Linked DNA regions of Ovis aries. The protein of the gene in region 2 binds, or shares a complex with, the protein of the main gene of each other region. Links are inferred from orthologs where the notes say so. Each region holds a gene or a part of one and is shown on either strand. Other genes may lie near its edges.

The links.
Region 1: BDP1 (region 2) and BRF2 share a complex: the UniProt entries of both Homo sapiens proteins name them as parts of the TFIIIB complex. The link is inferred for Ovis aries from reciprocal best matches to the Homo sapiens genes BDP1 and BRF2.

Annotation. Positions count from the first base shown.
Region 1 is NC_056079.1:32,198,833-32,203,422, forward strand, and holds the start of BRF2 (transcription factor IIIB 50 kDa subunit), read right to left. Parts: upstream 3,043-4,590; 5' UTR 2,983-3,042; coding exon 2,829-2,982; intron 2,139-2,828; coding exon 2,079-2,138; intron 1,192-2,078; coding exon 870-1,191; intron 62-869; coding exon 1-61. UniProt on the Homo sapiens protein: General activator of RNA polymerase III transcription. Factor exclusively required for RNA polymerase III transcription of genes with promoter elements upstream of the initiation sites.
Region 2 is NC_056069.1:10,198,172-10,201,988, forward strand, and holds part of BDP1 (transcription factor TFIIIB component B'' homolog), read right to left. Parts: intron 3,017-3,817; coding exon 2,888-3,016; intron 1,769-2,887; coding exon 1,635-1,768; intron 327-1,634; coding exon 232-326; intron 1-231. UniProt on the Homo sapiens protein: General activator of RNA polymerase III transcription. Requires for transcription from all three types of polymerase III promoters. Requires for transcription of genes with internal promoter elements and with promoter elements upstream of the initiation site.

The DNA.
Region 1 (4,590 bases), on a different chromosome or scaffold from region 2:
CTTCTCTTTGTCTTCCACGTACTTGGCTGGCACAGATGGGGAGGCTTCAAACAGCTTGAAGCTGAAATAACCAAAATGAGGGTCTGGTCTCAGTACCTCAGGGAGACAGCTCTTCCAAAGCGCAGAAGATAGGCAAGCTATGCTAGTCTTTCGGGAACACACAAGCCTGCTGGGTAGCAACTTTATTCAGGTACCAAGAGAAGTCAGGGAGAGTCTCCTGCAGGAGAGGCGAAGGGCGAGAGAGTGCGGAAGGGCACTAATGTCTACCGACAACCCCGCCCGCCCCCAGCATCAGCCCTCATTCTGAGTGAGTGCTTTACAAGATGTTCTCTAATCTACTCAACAGCCTGTTATGTACATTTAAGAGTCGAAAAACTTGCCCACAGTCATCCAGCGTAGAAGTGACCAAGCTTCAAACTCAAGGTCATTCGACACTGACTGCCTTTGCTTTCTACCATATTTGTCAGAACAAAAAGAAAAGAACACAGCTACTTATTAAATAAAAAAATTACCTTCTAACTCCAGCTCTGTCAGTTTGCTCATACTCTTTCAGCTCTAATCACACACAACGTGATCCTGCTGAGGCAGGGCTGTGGCATCTAGTCAAGCAGGCCTGAGTGGTAGAACCCAGAAGCCCCGTGCCAAAGCTGATACTTAACCCTCCTACAGCATCAGGCTGCTATGACAGCGAAGGGGTTTGAAAATGATTCAACATTCTAGAAACGTAAAATGGGATTCACCCGACCAGCGCCAGGCATAGGAGGAGAAGTCCATCCTCGTAGAATGGACTTGCTCAAAAAGAGACAGCTGGAAGTAAAAGGATTCGGGTCTGAACCCATGCCACCCCCGTGTCTCCCCCAGGCAGGTACCTGCTACAGTAGGTCTTTACTAGATCCACCAAGCACAGAGATGGCACATCCAGCCCCAGGAGCTTCACTATCTGCATGTAGGTTCCAGAAAACACATCCAGATCTGCATACAGCAGGGTGCAGATGGTCCCCATGGTCAGGGGCCAGTTACGCTGCCGGCAGGTGATTAGGACGCAGCAACCAGCCAGCACCTCCTTCTTCTGCAGCCTGGCTGTGCGGATGCCAGCGAGCTGGTGTGCCTGTTGGTAGTAGGCAACTGCCATGTCCTCAAATGTTGGTGGCAGCTGCAGCACTCGACAGAGGTCTCTCACTCGGCGAAGACCTAGGAAAACCCACGGCAGGAGTTAGAGGCATTTCCAACAATATGTTAACAGGATCAGACAACTGGATTGAGTGGGGTTTATCCCAGGGATGCAAAGATCAGTGTGATACACCACATGAACAAACTGAGAATAAGCCTGATCATTTCAATAGATGCAGAACAAGTTTTTGATAAAATGCAACATCCATTTACAATAATAATAATATCTCCAGAATGTGGGTCTAGAGGGAACAACATATAATAAATGTCATATACGACAAACTCACAGCAACATCATACTCAATGGTGAAAAGCTGAAAGCATTTCCTATAAGATTAAGAACAAGACAAAGATGCCCACACTCGTCACTTTTATTCAACATAGCTTTGGAAGGTCTAGCCATAGCAAACAGAGAGGAAAACTAAAAGGAATCTAAATTAGAAAGAAGTAAAAATGTCACTTCATATCATGTTTGCAGATGACATGATACTATACGTGAAGGAGTCAAAGGAGCTCCCAGCAAGTTCTGTTAAACTCACCTCAGATACCACATGCACAAATAATGGACCTTTCTACAATGATAAGAGTGACACTTGGTAAGGCCATTTGAAAAGCACAAAGACATTTGTGGAAAGAAGTCAACACTTCAGTGCCTCATCTTTTGGAAGTTGGTTTGATTTGTGACCAAGCTTTGACCTGGGTTCCTCGAATCTACCTCAAACATACCCAAGCAGACTTAAACCTTCCACCTAATTGCTACCTCTCTTAGAACCACCTCAATCCTTTTACCATTCTCTTCTTCTCTACCTTTACATAATAATGCTGAAAACAGAAAAAACAAGCAGACGAGCTGGACCATAAGGAGAATTTTCTTTAAAGCCACTGTGTCATAAAAGGTTGATTCTCACCTCGTTGCTGGCTTCGACTAACTTGTTCGTTTTCCCCGGTGCTTCGAGAATATGTTACTTCTGTAAGACAATGGACAAAAAATAGCTTGTTTAGTCTCTATTCACGGACCCCTGCCCTCCCACCACACAAAACCAGGGAGCAGAATCCAAATCATCAGGTATCCGCTCCCCAGCTCACAGAAGGTGCTCATCTTTGCAGGTAAAACGTCCATCTGGTTTTCTATAACCACAAGCAGTACCAAATACACAGAAAGCTTTAGAAAATTAGGACTAGCATTAAAGCAGTTCCAAGTGTTCCAAATTTCCAGCCACCCCTCCTGTACATTCAATTCAGGCAATTTTCCTGCCTGTAGATTTTGAGGGCTGCACTGGTCAGGGACTTTGAACACAAATGAAAAAAAGAAAAATAAGTTTTTGCCAATTAATTTTCAAAACTGCTTTGGGGTAGTAGTAGTTTCCACATTCACACAACACTGACCTATTGATATAATGCTTCCAAATAGGCAAATTAGGTAAATTCAGTGGAACTTTGTTTCTCTCTGTTTCATTTACTACATGTAACAGATATGGTGCTAAGAAAACAGATAATGGCAGCCCCTGATCTGAAGTTCACTCGTTCACTTTCACTGTTTTCTCCCATATCTAAGTGTGCTCAAGACAGGGAGACGGCAAGAGATAAGAAGCATCTGACGTCAATCCCTCCATCGCCCCAGGCTGTATCCATGGCCTCCGAAAAGCCCTCACAGGTACCTCGAAGGTTGCCCTCGTCACTGAAGGTGGTCGTAAGAACGCCCTCGGTGACCACGCAGCCGCAGTCGGAGCACACCAGCTGGTTCTGGGAATAGTGCGAGTCTTCCACTAGCTCAGCGGAGCCGCAATCGGGACAGCGGCCTCCACCCGGCATCGCACAAGCGGTCCAGAGCCCAAGCAGCTAACCGACCCTACCGCCCACAACAGCAACTGTGCCGAAACAGGAAGTAGGAGCGGACTCTTGTAGGGTTGCACCTTCCTCTTCCGGCCAGCGTAACAGCCGTACTGTAGGTACCTTCTCCGCGGCTTCCGGTCCGTTCCTCTGCGGACTCGGGTAGAAACGTGATCGAGGAAAGGAGGTTCCTGGTCTGGACTGTCTCTTCGGATTCCCCGCGATCTGTACTTAGTTTGAGGTTGGCCGTCTAGGCTCGGGGTTACTCTTGAGTGAGCTTTCTATCGCTGTGGACGCACGTAACAAACAAAAAACTGTTGCCAGCCACAAACAATTCTTTCTAAAGCGCCAAGGGTATCGCCGACTCTCCTTTTTCTCAATTCAGTTCAGTTCAGTCGCTCAGTCGTGTCCGACTCTTTGCGACCCCATGAATTGCAGCACGCCATGCCTCCCTGTCCATCACCAACTCCCGGAGTTCACTCGGACTCACGTCTATCGAGTCAGTGATGCCATCCAGCCGTCTCATCCTCTGTCGTCCCCTTCTCCTCCTGCCCCCAATCCCTCCCAGCATCAGTCTTTTCCAATGAGTCAACTCTTCTCATGAGGTGGCCAAAGTACTGGAGTTTCAGCTTTAGCATCATTCCTTCCAAAGAAATCCCAGGCTGATCTCCTTTAGAATGGACTGGTTGGATCTCCTTGCAGTCCAAGGGACTCTCAAGAGTCTTCTCCAACACCACAGTTCAAAAGCATCAATTCTTCAGCGCTCAGCTTTCTTCACAGTCCAACTCTCACATCCATACATGACCACAGGAAAAACCATAGCCTTGACTAGACGGACCCTTAATAAATGTTGATTCTGGCCATAGTACAAAATTTGTGGCCTAAAAGGGAGAGTAGTGTATTGAGAGAGCAGGAAATTGTGTTCTTTCCAAAGCAGCTTCCCTACAAGCACGTTGTTTCCTCTCTTTGCAGAGTGACAACCTGGGAGGCTTCCAGAGACTAGGCAAGAAATGTCTAAGGGAGTTGGAGAGAAAAACTATGGAGGTTAGTGAGGCCCTTGGCAGTCTGAAGAATTTAAGCAAATTGAGATGTTTTTAAAACCTTAAGCTTTAAGATGCTCCAAGATTCTAGCTCCGAAGTTCCTGGCATGGTATAGTATAGATCAAAGAATCAAGCAAAAATGTGCCTCTAGTAATGTTCCAGAAACCAAGCTCACAAATGAGAGATTTTGTATGTCATGTTTGAATATAACATAAGTGTCAGCAAAGAGGATGTGTTTTCTCATAAGTAAATCCCAATTGCACTCATCAAGAATAAAGGTTTTCAGGAATTCCCTGGTAGCCTAGTAGTTAGGACTTTGTGCCTTCACTGCTGAGGGCCCAGGTTCAATCCCTGGTCAGGGAACTAAGATTCCACAAGCCATGTGGTGTGGCATAAATACATAAATAAATAAATGTTTTTTAACACTTGAAAGTTTTAGAATCAATTATGTTTGAAAAATAAGACAATTGAGTTAAAGTTACAAAGAACTGTGGCCAGTCCCTCTGACTCCAAGAAAACAGACGGGTGTTATTACAGCCCATGCTGAAA
Region 2 (3,817 bases):
AAATCCATTATAGAAGTGGAAAGATATAAACAAGAACACATAATACTGAGGGTTAAAGAGACAATACTCATTTTAGGACTGGGAAATATACTACACTACTTTTTGAATGATAAAGGACAGATGTACCAGAAACAGTAGTAAAAAAGGATGGACTGAGATTTCAACCAAAGGTTTAAAAGACAGTAATTTTTAATCTCTTTTCAATCAACAAATGTAATGGGTTTACTTTACCTTAATTTCTATTCTTGCTCTGTGAGGAAAAAGCTGTCCAATCATAGAAAAGTCAGTTCCTACCATGCTGATGGCTAAAAAAAACATATCTGTCTCTGTAAAAATAAAAGATTTAGAAAGATGGAGAATTAATCTTATAAATATTTCAGAGGAAAAAATCTTACATAAGTATATAAAGGTGTTAAGTCGCTCAGTCGTGTTTGACTTTTTGCAACCCCATGGACTGTAGCACACCAAGCTCCTCTGTCCATGGGATTTCCCAGGCAAGAATACTGGAGTGGGTTGCAATTTCCTTCTCCGGGATCCTCCCGACCCTGGGATCAAACCTGGGTCTCCTGCATTGCAGGCAGACTTTTTTACCATCTGAGCCACCGGGGAAGCCCTACGTAAGTATATATTTTGAGTTAAAAGTAAATTTGACAATACTGAAGTTTCTTATTAAAATCCATCAAATCTTTAATCACAGAAATATACCTATGAACACATACACAGAAATAGTTCAATTTTACTGCAAGAAGCCTCATGGATCTAAAAACACCTTCTTTAAACTTTTATATAAAAATATGGTTTAAGAAATTTGCATGTTCATACTAAAGTAGCTGGAATTTCTGAAAAGGCATTCTGCCTATCTGGTCTCAAGTGCCTTGAAGAAAACTTTCAGTCAGAACTAGCATATTAAAAAAAAAAAAAAAAAGAACCAGTATATTGCTGGTATGTAAGCAACTAAGATGTGTACATGAAAGGAAAGTAAGGGAGGTGGGAGGGGGGTTCATGTTTGGGAACGCATGTAAGAATTAAAGATTTTAAAATTTAAAAAAAAAAAAAAAGTTAAAAAAAAAAAAAAGAAAGGAAAGTAGCCAGAAAAATACTCAAGAACAGAACTAGCCTCAAGAGAACAGGACTGGGGAAGTCAGAAATTCATTCTGTATTACTCTGTTGTGTCTGAATTTTTTCCCAAAACAAACTGTATTATTTTTACAATAAAAATTAAGTAAAACAAACAACATGCAGTAGGTAATATATACTTTTTTACATGTACTTTTTATCATTAAAGACTGTATTATACAATAGTGAGGTAGAATATTATTATGAGCATTAAAAATATTGGTAATTTTTCATTAAAATGATATTTGCTGCACAAGGATTTGACAATGAAGAATATTCCACCTGAAATGATCATAAGGCTAACCCCTAAAAAGATGTCTAAGATAAAGTCAGAGGCATAGTTCTATGGTGGGAGACAGGGGAAAGGTGCCAATAAAATTAGCTAGAGAAAAAAACTAGCTGGTTTGCATTTTATTTTTTTTTACTCAGGGGATACCTGGTATAACACAGAAACCAAGAAACAAATTCACTTCATTTCCAATAAATAATCTACATAGTTTAAAATGAAAATCAGTTACCTTTATTTGACCATGGTTTAGAGTAGTAGCTTTTCCTAAAGCTGGAATATGTAGTTGTAGAACCACGCTCAAATATGGGGTCATTTTCCTCAACAACACAGGGACCTTTTGTCCTTAAAACTTCTACAGTTAAACTGAAAGAAACATTTTTAAATAGATCCACACTAAACATGCAAGGAAACAAACAGTAAATGAGATTTAATAGTTATATTCTGAAATTTACCATGCCAAAAACCACATCAAAAGTATAACACAAAAAAACAAAAAAGTAATATACATTTGAAGTATGCATATTTTCTAAGAATCTGCCAATTTTCATTTAAAATGTGATTGCTAGGGAGCAAAAATTAATGCCAACCTGATTTCAAAATCCTTAGCAGCAATATAAATCTGTAAAATATCTCTGGGCCAACTAAATAACTGTTTTTTACTGACTTCTGTATGTCTCCTACATTTAACATATCTTATCATGCAATACCCAATAGGGGATACTGAGAAATATAAACACTTTATATTTACATTTTATATTCCTCCACACAAAGCAGTTAAATATGCTTTTAACAATTTAATAAAATCATCATCACAAAATAGTGGAAAACAACATGCATAAACAGCTATTATTAACAGCATTATATTTTCATTTATCATAGAATTTATATCCTGTAAAACAATTATTAATTAAACTGTAAGGAGACTTCCATCCCTCTTTTTTTTTTTTCCCTAACTAGTTTATCTTCTTTTTTTAAGAAACACACATTGAAAAGAGAAGTAAGTTTCATACTGCCAAATTTGAGAAATTTAATGTTATAACTAAGAAATTAAACCAGAAAGTTAATTAAAAACCAAAAAATATGTTTCACTGAATTTTCAACAGTTAACACCACAACCAGAATATGGTAATAGTTAATAAGTACTGACATCAAGGCCGAATTAATCATTGAAATGTATTCTTAGTTGCGGACAGCGTGTGATTAGTTCAATAGCTCATTTCAACTACCAGTAAAATTAGTAAAACAATGGTAGTAGATAAGTGGGTGGCAGGTCAGCAGTACCATCTTCTCATATAAAGGACACAATTATAAAAAATTGCTAAAAATTATAAACAAATATAACCCACCCTTCTATTTATAACATCTATTACGCAAAAATAAACGTCAGTCAACGTGACAGTGTGAAATACAGAAACTCAATCTTGCTCATTAGACAAAACTCATTTGTTCTCAAAACCACAATCTCTCTCTCTCTTAACTTACCTTTCTTCATCCAAAATAATAGACCCATCTTCTGCCACTTTTACTCGAGGAACCAGCAAGGGCCCATCATCCAACTCTTCTTCTACTTCGTCGTTATCTTCACCATCAGGAGTAGTCTTGCTTTCTTGCCTACCGAATGCCAAGGTAGGTTAGTTCATACAGCCATCAGAAACATCCCCTGAATACTATGAACTTCTAAAACAAACTATTGCACCTTCAACCTTCTGTTAATAGCTATTTCCCACTTTCACTATAACCTCACTGAAAATACTATGTGTTATTGAGACCATGGCTATAAGATTTCCTCAAATCTAGTAGCATTTCACAGAAGTCTTTACTCTCTTTGAAACGATAAATAAATGCTCATCTATTCTGTCTCAACCGAGCACTGGAGTAAACCATACAGATATTATAAAATTAATAAAAAATAAGGCATACAGAATTAATTTCCAGATCATTTTATTACCTCTTCAGAACAATCCTTGGGGGTTAGATTTTCACACCCATTTGATGTTTGGAGACGATAAATTACTGTTGCTCTAGACTACACAACAATCAGAGTAGACCAAGAAGCCAAACACAGTATCCCAGATAACGGTTCCAAATTTCATACACTTTCCATTCAATTAGATTATCACTTTAAGGTCTTACTGAAAGAAGCATAACCTATAAACCTGTAAAAACAAAGCCTATTTCTGGACCTCCCGACAGTGGATAAGAATCCACCTGCCAATGCAAAGGACAGGAGTTCAATCTCTAGTCCAGGAAGACTCCACATGTCCCAGAGTAGCTAAGCCCACGAGCCCCAACTACTAAGCCTGCATGCTGCAACTACTGAAGCCTGCCCGCCTAGCCTGTGCTCTGCAAGGGAAGTCACCACAGTGAGAAAGCCCACACACTGCACTGAACAGCAGCCCCTGTTCAACTGCA